Caenorhabditis elegans: one gene and its partner. The protein of the gene in region 1 purifies or fractionates together with the protein of each later gene. This does not show direct contact. Each region holds a gene or a part of one and is shown on either strand. Other genes may lie near its edges.

Region 1 (6,109 bases):
TAAATAAATCTGTGTTTAATCCATTTGAGCCCGTAAATCGACACAAGCGCTACAGTAGTCATTTAAAGAATTACTGTAGGTTTCGCTACGAGATATTTCGAATATGTTGCGCACTAAATACGTATTCTCAGAATTTTATGTTCCACGTAATAGTTTCGTATTTTTAATCAAAAGTTTATTTTTCAGGGTGATCCTCACATTTTTCAAATCATCATACAAATCGCGAGCTTCCTTCTCCATAGCATAATAAGCATGTGGGGATATCCAGAAAAGATGGTCTTGATACACAATTTGGCCCGATTTCATCCGTTTTTCGAGTTTTTCTCCCAATGCTCGACTCTCTTCTCCAATATTTTCACCATTTTTCAGCTGTTCAATTGTCCAATCGAGATCAGGTTTAGTGACGTCACTCACGAACCACGGGATCGCTTTTCCATGAATTACAACTTTATCGGCAAAACCACGAGAGATGAAAAACTCGGCGACGATCAGGTCTCCAGTCAATTCGACTCCAGAATTATCGAGAATTATGTCGATTCTTCGATTAGTTTCGTGATTTGCATTGATTTTTAATGGACCAAGAACCTTCACAATCATATCGTTGACATCGTCGATAAGTACGAAATCTGCTAGTTTTGAAGAAGCCGACATTGATGACATCGCCTGTAAATAGGTAACAAAATTTGTTAATAGAATTCATTTTCAGGTTCCAAACATTGGTGTGCGGATAACCGATTTTTCGGCAAACGGATAAATCGGTTAATGCTGGTTTAGAAAAACCGGCTAACGGATAATTCGGCAATTTCAGAAAATATTCATATGGTTAAGCTTTTTTTCGTTCTTTCTGTCAATTCAGGTTTTGGGTTAATTTTTTCACTGTTATTGAGCAAAACCAAAAAAAATCAAATAGAAAAAAACTCATATAAATTCAAAAAATTTTGTTTTCCAAAAAAATGTGTTGGCTAACATCAGCCAAAGTCGGCTACCGGAAAACTTTAAATTAGCCAAACTGCCAAAAAGTCCGCGAATTCGGCTAATTGGTAAAAAACTCGGCAAGCAGATCATTCGGCTAATATTAGCCAAATCAGCCAATCGGTAAATTCGGCTAAATCAGTTATTAGCCGCACACCCCTGGTTTCAAACTGTTCCGCATAATAATTTACCAAGGTATGATCGTCTCCACCAGTCAATGACATATCAGCTCGGTTTCCCCACAAGCTCATTTTCAGTATTGTGTTGATTCCGAATAGTTCATGAACTGGAGCATCTTTCGCTGAGATTTTATTGATAAATGCCGCCGACTCTTCGATTTGTGGGAGGCTGAAATGATTATTTTCAACTTTTCGATGAGAAAATAAATTTTGTGATTTTTTCCACCAAAAATACTTTTTGTTATTGCAAACAAAAGTGTGCGCCTTTAAAAAGTACTGTAATTTCAAACATTTTTTCCTGTCTAATTTTGATCGATTTTTTTAATGCTTTTTGATAGAAATGCATTTATTATTGAAAATTTCGAAATTGAAAATTTCCGGCAAATGGGCAAACCGGCAGATTGCCGAAAATTTTGGGCAAATTGTACGCATCCTATGAATGTTCATAGATCTATTGTGAAAAGTAAACAAATTCTATAAAAATAGCTGAAGAAAACGGAAAAAATTATATAAAGGCACAGTTTTAAGTGTTTCCGTCTTATAAAAAATCTCTCTGAGCATTTTCGGCAAATCGACAAGCCGGCAAATTGCCGGAAAAGAGAATTTCCGGCAAATCGGCAAACCGACATTTGTCGGAATTGAAAATTTGCGGCAAATGTGCAATTTGACAAACATTAAAATTTCTGGCAAACCGGCAATTTGCTGATTTGCCGAACGGTAATTGCCGCCCACCACTGAATCAGAGTACTCCTATAGTTTTGGATTACTGATAAAAACCAATTTTTCTTCTAAACAATCGAATTGCCACAGAAAAAATTCTTACTGATCTAGGAAATTTTTGCGCTTCGAGTCCTGGAAATAATCATATTCGCTGAGGCGAATAGTTTTTGCAAACGTGCTCCAGATGAATCTGTAGAGCCAGCACTCAACAAAAAGCCATGGTCCTTTGAAAAAAGTGAGATCTTCAACTTCGTCGGGCTGAAAAAATCATTAATTAATTGAATTCAAGAGAATTATTTACCATTGCAGCAGTTCTCATGTCGCTGAGCAAATTTCTCCACATTTCAGAATCCAACTGGGTGTCCATTAGATTGCAAAGTGGCTTGTCAGTCATGATTTCATATCGAAGCTTTGAAAAAACTTCTAAAATAGCTGCAATATCTGATTCAACTTCCTGAAAGAAAATACAATTATAATTTGATTTTAATTCAATATATTTACGAACACTGCCATATTTCTCAATAAGGCTCGCTCTTTTTTGAGCCAATTGATCGACTAGCCCAGTAACAATCTTCGGCCATCGGTCTCTTACAGTGTAATAGGCGAACGTGCTGAAAAATTGTAATTTACAAACTTTAAAGTCGAAAAATCAATAGAAACCAACCCCTCCTTCTTCCCGCGTAGTTTCGGCGCCAAGTGATCGTACTCGTCGGCGTTCTCCATCACTCACAGAGGTTTTATTACTGAAAATTGAGTTTTCATACAATTTTCGACTGAAAAACGTTAAGAAACATGAAAAATTCCAAGGAAATCGATGTGCCTCGAAAAATCGAACATTTTGGGGTACGGTCAACAATGGCAAACGGCGTTTTCTGTGCAAACACGCGCAAGTGAGTTGCGTACTTGGCGCTCTAAATGACGCGCAAAGAATTGGAATGTTCTAGAGCTCACTTTACGTGATTTTCAAGTTATATGAAGTAATTTTACGTTAATCTCATTCGAATTTACTTTTTTCTGCTGCGTTCTCTTATTGATGTTCGCCTACCGTCATTGTTCAGATCAGGGCTGCGCGACGAACACACAAAACGGCTTATCCAAAGTTAATGTAGAGATGTAGAAAAATATTTGTTCCAGCTTAAAATGGCCTTCAAAAAAGCCTTCAAAAACGCTTCAAATAGTGCTTGAATGTGTCTTTTTGTAGCTTTTCAACAAAAGTAAATGTTATTTTCAGATAGAACAAAGCTTTTTCTACATTTCTACATTAATTTTGAAATAAGCAGTTTTGTGCGTTTTCTGGAAAAAGCGCCGCACAGCCCTGGTTCAGATTTCAATAACTTTATTTTAATATTTTCAGGTAAATTAGCGAGATTCGCAAGATGTCCGGCGAAAAGATCGATATCACCCCAAAGAAGGACGGTGGAGTGTTGAAACTCATCAAGAAGGAGGGTCAAGGAGTTGTCAAGCCAACCACTGGAACGACCGTGAAGGTGCATTACGTCGGAACTCTTGAGAATGGAACCAAATTCGATTCATCCAGAGATCGCGGTGATCAATTCTCATTCAATTTGGGAAGAGGAAATGTGATTAAAGGTATTCAGAGTAATGTTAGCGTGTAGAAAATCATCAATTTCCAGGTTGGGATCTCGGTGTTGCCACAATGACCAAAGGCGAGGTGGCGGAATTCACAATTCGCTCGGATTATGGATATGGAGACGCGGGATCACCACCGAAGATTCCAGGAGGGGCAACGCTGATCTTCGAAGTGGAGCTTTTTGAATGGAGCGCCGAGGATATCTCTCCGGACAGGGATGGGACGATTCTTAGAACGATTATCGTCGAAGGATCCAAAAACTCTTTCCCAAATGACACCAGCAAGGTTTTGGCACATTGCGTCGGAACCTATCAAGGCACGGAGTTCTACAATCGTGAAGTGAACTTCCACATCGGAGAAGGTTCGGAAGAAGGCCTTCCGGAAGGTGTCGAGCGGGCTTTGCGTCGTTTCCAGCTTGGAGAAAAGTCAAAAATTGAAATTCGCGGTCATAAGTACACCTACGGAAACTCTCCACCTGCTGGATCAAATATTCCAGTCAATGCTACTCTTGAATTCACAATTTTCCTGAAGGAGTTCGAAAAAGTTCCAGCGACTTGGGAAATGACTGCAGAGGAGAAGCTTGATGCTGCGAAACAAGCCAAAGATCGTGGAACCATGTACTTGCAGAAGGGAAATCTCAAATTGGCCTACAACAAGTACAAGCGGGCCGAGGAAGTGTTGGAGTATGAAAAGTCAACTGATCCCGAGAAGATGGCCGAAAGAGAGACAATTTTGAACGGAGCGTATCTTAATTTGAGTCTGGTTTGTTCGAAGCAAAACGAGCAATTGGAGTGCATCAAGTGGTGCGATAAGGTCCTGGAAACGAAACCAGGAAACGTCAAGGCACTGTATCGCAAAGCAACTGCCCTCTTGACCATGAACGAAGTCCGAGATGCCATGAAGTTGTTCGAGAAGATTGTGGAAGTAGAGCCGGAGAATAAGGTTTGCAGGAAATCTGTTGAGTTTATAATTTGTAATATATTAATTCAGGCCGCCGCTCAACAAATCATCGTCTGCCGTAACACGATCCGCGAGCAAAACGAGCGTGACAAGAAGCGCTTCAAGAATCTATTCGCCAAAATCTCCACAGAAGAAGACAAGCCAACCAACACTGTTGAGGATGAAGATGAAATCGTTGCATCCACGTCTGGAAGCTCTACTTCCAATGCTTAGATAACCTCTCTCTCCCAGTATCCCCTATTTATTCGTAATGTGTTTTCATTGTGATCTCTCTTCCCCAGAATTCAAGCTATTGTTTTCCCTTTTATTGATATCGCATATCATGGTAGTTGTATACTGTAATATTTATTTAAATTAAGATTTATTGCTCTGTACATGTACAATCCAGTCAGGTTAGATAATTATTTCGTCTCCCAGGTTCCCATCCGGAATACAATTGTATTCAAAGGCCCAGTGGTTAGATGCATTGAACTGCTCTCCGGTGTCATAAGAGATGAACATCGAGTTCTGCGTAGTTTTTATGAGATCCACAGAGCTTGGAGAGAATTGACGGAATCTATAATCACTTTTTAATTCTTTAAAATTACAATTTCAATCAAAGTCACTCACATTTTCAACTTTCCCGCGGTTTCATCGTTTCCATTAAATATCTTGACTCGATCGGATTTATCCAGCTGCATCGCCTTCAATTTCAGTGCCACGTGATGAGCAATTGGACATTGAATGAGATAGTATTGGATGAGGAAGGAATCCGGAGAATTTGGATAATTGTTCGATGTAACTGTGCCAAAAGAGTTCGATGAGAACACTTTCACAGGAAGTGGACGTCTGGAAATTGAAGATTTTCGGATAAAATTCAAAATCGAATTTTTTGAACTGGATTTGAAAAAAAATTCGAAAATTTCTAAAACCATCGACTTTATTACATGAACACAGAATTCTGAGAATGCGTATTGCACAACATATTTGACGCGTAAAATATCTCGTCACGAAAACTACAGTGATTCTTTAAATGACTATAGTATACTGTAGCGCTTGTGTGTCGATTTACGGGCTCATTCGTTTCTTCGCATTATTTTCTAATTATTAACTTAATTTCAATACTTTTTCGATAAATAAATGTGTTTTAATCCATTTGAGCTCGTAAATCGACACAAGCGCTACAGTAGACATTTAAAAAATTACTGTAGGTTTCGCTACGAGATATTTCAAATATGTTGCGCAATACGTATTCTCAGAATTTTGTGTGTGTGTGTTTTTTTTTAGTAATATCTGAACATTAAAAAAAATTGAAATGTTTTCTTTATATTGAAATTTTTCTGAAGAAAACGGAAAACGGAACTTTAAAAAAGATGTTCCTTTTTGGGAAATCGAGTATTTTCAGTTTTCTGAAAAAAAAACAAAAAAAATTTAATTTTCTGAAAATAGCAGAAAAAGAAGAAAAAACTTTTTTTTGAAAACCTAAAGTAAAAAATTAATAAAACTAATGAAAAGTGTATAAACCTACAGTATCTTGTATCTCATAACGAAACCTTTTCCAATATTATCCTCATCAGACTTGAAATTAATCATAACATGATTTCGATTACTGATAACTGAGTGATTACGATGTGAACCAGAAAGACGGAAAAGTGTTCTTCCAGAAATACCGTAATCATCAGTTACGGTAATAATATCACAATTATGT
Region 2 (5,644 bases), 9.3 Mb from region 1:
CAAAAAATGGTTTATCTTTTTTTACGAACGGTTCATGTATATTTCCAATACTTATCTGAAAGTTAGCCAGTACAGCGAACATTTTCACAAGAAACTATGTTTTGCTATCTCAACCCAGTTTTGAGTTATACCAAAATTTGGGGGTGGCCGTATCATTATGTGGAGCACTGTATATTTGTGATTTATGTAGCGAAATGACCAAACCTCTTTGATTTACCTAGTTTCTCTCATCTCAACAGTTCATTGGCAAACTCAGGTTTTCACTTCTTAATGAGAATTTATAGGATCTCAGAATTATCAAGGATCCCCGGATCCACATTCTTCCCTTGACAGTGACTTGTGATAAATCAATTGATGATTTTGTGATCAAAGTTGGAGAAATTGTTGGATCGGAGGGTCTCAATTTGCTTGTTAATAATGCAGGGATAATCACCAAATACAATAACAAATCGGTTCGTTAATTATTGGTTGAGATGATTAAACTTTTAATATTTTCAGGAGCCAAACCGTTCATTGATTGCCAATCAACTTGATGTCAACACTACAAGTGTAGTTTAAAAAAAAACATCAACTTTCCCTCCAGATGTGCTAGCATACAGAATGAGCAAGGCTGCAGTTAATATGTTTGGTAGAACATTGGCAATTGATCTGAAAGATGATCATATTTTGGTGGTCAACTTCTGTCCAGGATGGGTTCAAACTGGATTAGGAGGACCACTGGCTACCTACACTGTAAGTGATTCTTACACTTTAGCTCTTAATTTTCACAAATTTTGCTTTTAGGTTGAAGAATCAACAACAGAGTTAACTGCCAGTTTCTACAAACTAAACAACTCTCACAGTGGAAGATACTTTGACAGAAACCTCAATCCACACTCATTCTAAAAACATTGAGAGTTTTCTGTTTCTCAAACAGTCATAAAGTTATGTCATTTTTTTCATGATTCAAGACTTTTCAATCAGTCTCAATAAACGGATGACATTTTGTTTGTTTCCAGTTATCACTCTACACTTTTTTCTTTTTTCGGAAAATCAATGTCATCTATTTTCTGACCTTCGATCGCTGAGAATAAGTGTTTCGCGAGAAGATGCAAACTGTTTGTGTTTTAACGTGGAGATTTTTTTTGAACTATTTTTCCCGTGAGCTTTTATGTGGTGAATTTTGTTCCACGTTAACATGTCTTGTTATATTCCTTTCGATTAGTCTGATTTTTCGTCCTCAGTCATGTCTCCAAAAAGTGTTGTCATTACTGGAGCAAATCGTGGAATCGGACTTGGACTTGTTCAAGAATTCGTGAAAGATAAGAATATTCGTCATATTATTGCAACTGCTAGAGATGTTGAGAAAGCAACAGTAAGTTAATTTTTTTTTCAATGTCTGATATTTCGGGCACAAAAAACGTTTCAGGATTTGAAAGCAATTAGTGATCCTCGTGTTACTGCTCTCCAATTGGAAGTTACTTGTGATAAATCAATGGATACTTTTGTCTCAAAAGTTGAAGAAATTGTTGGATCTGATGGACTTAACCTGCTTGTCAATAATGCGGGAAACGCGGTGGATTATCCATGTAAAGCGGTATGTTTAAAAAAAGTTCGGGTACAAGATTAAATTAGGAAATGGATTAGTTGACTATTTCCAAAGCTCACTAACAGTGAAGATTTGTCAACGTGTTGTCCAATTTTTTCTGAAAGTTTTCAAACACAATCAATTTTACATTATTCGGGTGATAGTCGGGGAAGAAATACACAGATATAATTTATCCATTAAAATATCAAATTTTCAGAAACCAAACCGTGCACTGTTTGCCGAGCAGCTGAATGTGAACACGACCAGTGTGGTTATTCTCACTCAAAAACTGATGCCACTTCTCATCAAGGCATCCTCAAAAGTGTCTGGAGATCAACTTTCCGCTTCACGTGCTGCTGTAGTCACTATCTCATCTGGACTTGCATCAATGACTGATTTTGCCACAGGAGGCCATGCTCCAAATGCATTTGCTTACAGAATTAGCAAAGCTGCCATTAATATGTTTGGTAGAGCTCTTGCAAATGATATGAAAGATGATCATATTCTGGTAGCCAGTATTGGTCCTGGATGGGTGAAGACTGATATGGGAGGAGAGAAGGCCCTTTTGACGGTGAGCTTAGAAAGTTTTAAAATATAAATTAAATTAATTTCCAGGTTGAACAATCAACTGCCGAACTAGTGGCCAGCTTCAACAAGCTCAACAATTCTCACAATGGAGGATTCTTCCAAAAAGATCTCACACCGTATCCTTTTTAAGTGCATTTCTCGAAATACTCGTTTTCAAATAGGTTTTTCTCAATTCCAAAAAAATTAAATCCAAAACCACAAAATTTTGTGACCACTTTTTGTGACGAAAGATCAATTTGATTCAAAGCGTCCAATTGTTTAGTTTATTTCTATTGTAGATTCAATAAAAGTTTATGTAGTTTTTCTTGTATTTCAAAACATGTTTATTTTATTTTCTAAATATCGGCATATTTATTTGTTTTTCTAAATATAAATGTCTTCGTATTTACTTCAATACGGTGTAACTACAATGTCACTACGATGCCCGCGTCTCTCCAGCTGTCGCTATTTAGTCATCTATTTTACTCCAATGTCATCATTTTCGCTGTGGTCTCCTACATTTTGACCCTGGTGTTCTCCGTATATAAGAGACTTTTCTATATAGAAAAACAGATTTTGTGTCTTCAAATATCTCAAGCTTGTTTCTGCTTTTTTAATCATGGAAACAATAGTTTTGTTCTCAAATTATTCACTTTTACAGAAAATTTAAAAAAATGTCGCCAGGAAGTGTTGTTGTGACCGGAGCCAACCGTGGTATTGGACTTGGACTTGTCCAGCAACTCGTCAAAGATAAGAACATTCGTCATATTATTGCAACTGCTAGAGACGTTGAGAAGGCTACTGTAAGTTTTTTTTTCTACAAGTGAGCTAGTCATCCCAAAGTGTTTTTTTAGGAATTGAAATCTATTAAAGATTCACGTGTTCATGTACTTCCATTGACAGTCACTTGTGATAAATCACTTGACACTTTTGTGTCGAAAGTTGGAGAAATTGTTGGATCTGATGGGCTCAGCTTGCTGATAAATAACGCTGGAGTTCTGCTGAGCTACGGAACGAATACGGTACGTTATGATAGTTACATGTTATTTTTTCTTTGATTGTTTTTAAAAGTTGTTCAGTATTTGATTATTAACTAAAAAATAAGAATTTCGATTTCATTCAAAAGTATATTTCATTAGACATTTATGCATCTTATAATAATTATTAATATGGCCAATTTTGAAGGAGCCTAACCGTGCCGTCATCGCCGAACAACTAGATGTAAATACGACTAGTGTGGTCCTTCTCACTCAAAAGTTATTACCACTGCTCAAAAATGCAGCATCCAAAGAATCTGGAGATCAACTTTCCGTTTCACGTGCTGCTGTAATCACTATCTCATCTGGACTTGGTTCCATCACTGACAACACATCTGGATCTGCACAATTCCCAGTTCTCGCCTACAGAATGAGCAAAGCTGCTATCAATATGTTCGGAAGAACTCTTGCTGTTGACTTGAAGGATGATAATGTGTTGGTTGTTAACTTCTGTCCAGGATGGGTGCAAACCAATTTAGGAGGGAAGAATGCAGCACTCACGGTAAGTAAACGAATCGATTAATTATCAGTTTAGAAATTGTTATTCCGATCATTTTTCAGGTTGAACAATCCACCGCCGAGCTGATTTCCAGTTTCAATAAGCTTGACAACTCTCACAATGGAAGATTCTTTATGAGAAATTTGAAGCCATATGAATTCTAAAATCTTTTTATTTTTTTCCCACCTTTTTTGCATCGGAAGTTAATTGAAAATAAACAAACTAAAATTACCTTTTGTCGTTGTCGAAAACCAGTTTCTTACTATGGTAAATTGCCATGAAAACTATTTTCATCAATTTTCAATGTTTGTGTGCAATTTACAATTGGAAAATGAACTAGGAAAGCCATTTCAATAATTTTTTGTGGGAAGTGTTTGTTTCCTTTTGACTACAAACGAACTACAGATTTTGTTTCATTTTCTGTGCCTCTTCCTCTATTTCTATTTACTTTGTTGCTCGTCTATGCCATTTTTTGAGACTTTCTGTTGCCTCTTCCTTTCCGATCTTTGACCAATTTTGTATACAAGTTCAATTAGTTCTCCCCAAAGACAGTCTGATTAATTAAATTCAGGTATTCAGGTTCATTATGTCTCCAAAAAGTGTTGTCATTACTGGAGCAAATCGTGGAATCGGACTTGGACTTGTTCAAGAATTCGTGAAAGATAAGAATATTCTTCATATTATTGCAACTGTTAGAGATGTTGAAAAGGCTACTGTAAGTGATTATTACATTTTGAGCTAAATATTATTCTCAATATTCAGGATTTAAAAGCTATCAATGATCCACATGTTCATGTTCTTCCATTGATAGTAACTTGTGATAAATCAATTGATTCTTTTGTGACAAAAGTTGAAGAAATAGTTGGATCTGATGGACTCAATTTACTTGTCAACAACGCGGGAATTGCTGTCAAATATCTCACAAAAACTGTACGTTTTGAAAATGTATGACATTCTTCAGTTATCCTTTGTCCTACTCAGAAACCAAACCGTTCAATGATTGCTGAGCAACTAGATGTCAACACAACAAGTGTTGTGATACTAACTCAAAAACTATTACCACTTTTAACAAGAGCTGCATCCAAAGTTTCTGGAGATCAACTTTCCGTTTCACGTGCTGCTGTAATCACTATCTCATCTGGACTCGGATCAATTACTGAAAACACTACAGGATCAGCAGTATTCGATAGTTTGGCATACAGAATGAGTAAGGCTGCAGTTAATATGTTTGGTAGGACTTTGGCAATTGATCTGCAAGATGATCACATTTTGGTGGTTAACTTTTGTCCAGGATGGGTTCAAACTGATATGGGAGGGCAAGAAGCGATGCTCACTGTGAGTGAGGTTTTTTTTAGTCTGACACTTATCGAACTAATTTTCAGGTAGAGCAGTCCACTTCTGAACTAGTTTCCAGTTTCAATAAGCTGGACAACTCTCACAATGGACGATATTTCCAGAGAAATCTAACACCATTCCAATTTTGAATCAAAAGTTCAAAACTGAGAAAATTAATTTCTACCGAATGTTTCCAATTAATATTGCTCCTTCTCCCCATCATTTTCGGTATTTTGATTTAACTGTAATTGATTTCAGAATAAAATGTATCTTAACATTTTTCATTAATATGCAACTTATAACAATGTTAAAAAATAAATTTGAAAAAATATTGAACAGAAATACCATAAGCTTGTGTAAGATCAAAAACACAAAAAACATTTTTCTGCGTCTCTAGTTGTTTGTTATGTGTCTTGCAAATATTTCTGTCTATCTTCATCGTCTTATGTTTTGCGTGTTGACATTTCGAGACCCTTTATTTTTAAAATTTTTACGTGGGTCATTGATTTTAAAGTAATTAATTAGGAATATAACGAAACAATTTCATTTTTAGTTACGCTATGTCCCCAGGAAGTGTTGTTGTCACTGGAGCCAATCGTGGAATTGGTCTTGGACTTGTCAAACAATTTGTCAAAGATA

What was found. Proteins that work in one complex are often made in the same cells at the same time.
Region 2: the proteins of fkb-6 (region 1) and sdz-8 fractionate together in Caenorhabditis elegans (co-fractionation; one large-scale study listed by BioGRID). This does not show direct contact.

The regions. Positions count from the first base shown.
Region 1 is NC_003283.11:20,842,933-20,849,041, forward strand, and holds fkb-6 (peptidylprolyl isomerase), read left to right. Parts: upstream 1-3,225; 5' UTR 3,226-3,247; coding exon 3,248-3,461; intron 3,462-3,505; coding exon 3,506-4,404; intron 4,405-4,452; coding exon 4,453-4,635; 3' UTR 4,636-4,795; downstream 4,796-6,109. Other genes in the region: F31D4.2 (Sugar phosphate phosphatase), read right to left, coding at 199-663, 1,164-1,320, 1,975-2,129, 2,173-2,325, 2,377-2,482, 2,536-2,594; clec-264 (C-type lectin domain-containing protein), read right to left, coding at 4,816-4,978, 5,032-5,250, 5,930-6,109.
Region 2 is NC_003283.11:11,513,343-11,518,986, reverse strand, and holds sdz-8 (C-factor), read left to right. Parts: upstream 1-2,795; 5' UTR 2,796-2,808; coding exon 2,809-2,937; intron 2,938-2,988; coding exon 2,989-3,156; intron 3,157-3,319; coding exon 3,320-3,673; intron 3,674-3,732; coding exon 3,733-3,834; 3' UTR 3,835-3,901; downstream 3,902-5,644. Other genes in the region: C55A6.4 (DeHydrogenases, Short chain), read left to right, coding at 1,226-1,354, 1,409-1,576, 1,785-2,138, 2,183-2,284; C55A6.6 (DeHydrogenases, Short chain), read left to right, coding at 4,257-4,385, 4,433-4,600, 4,652-5,005, 5,053-5,154; C55A6.3 (DeHydrogenases, Short chain), read left to right, coding at 5,566-5,644.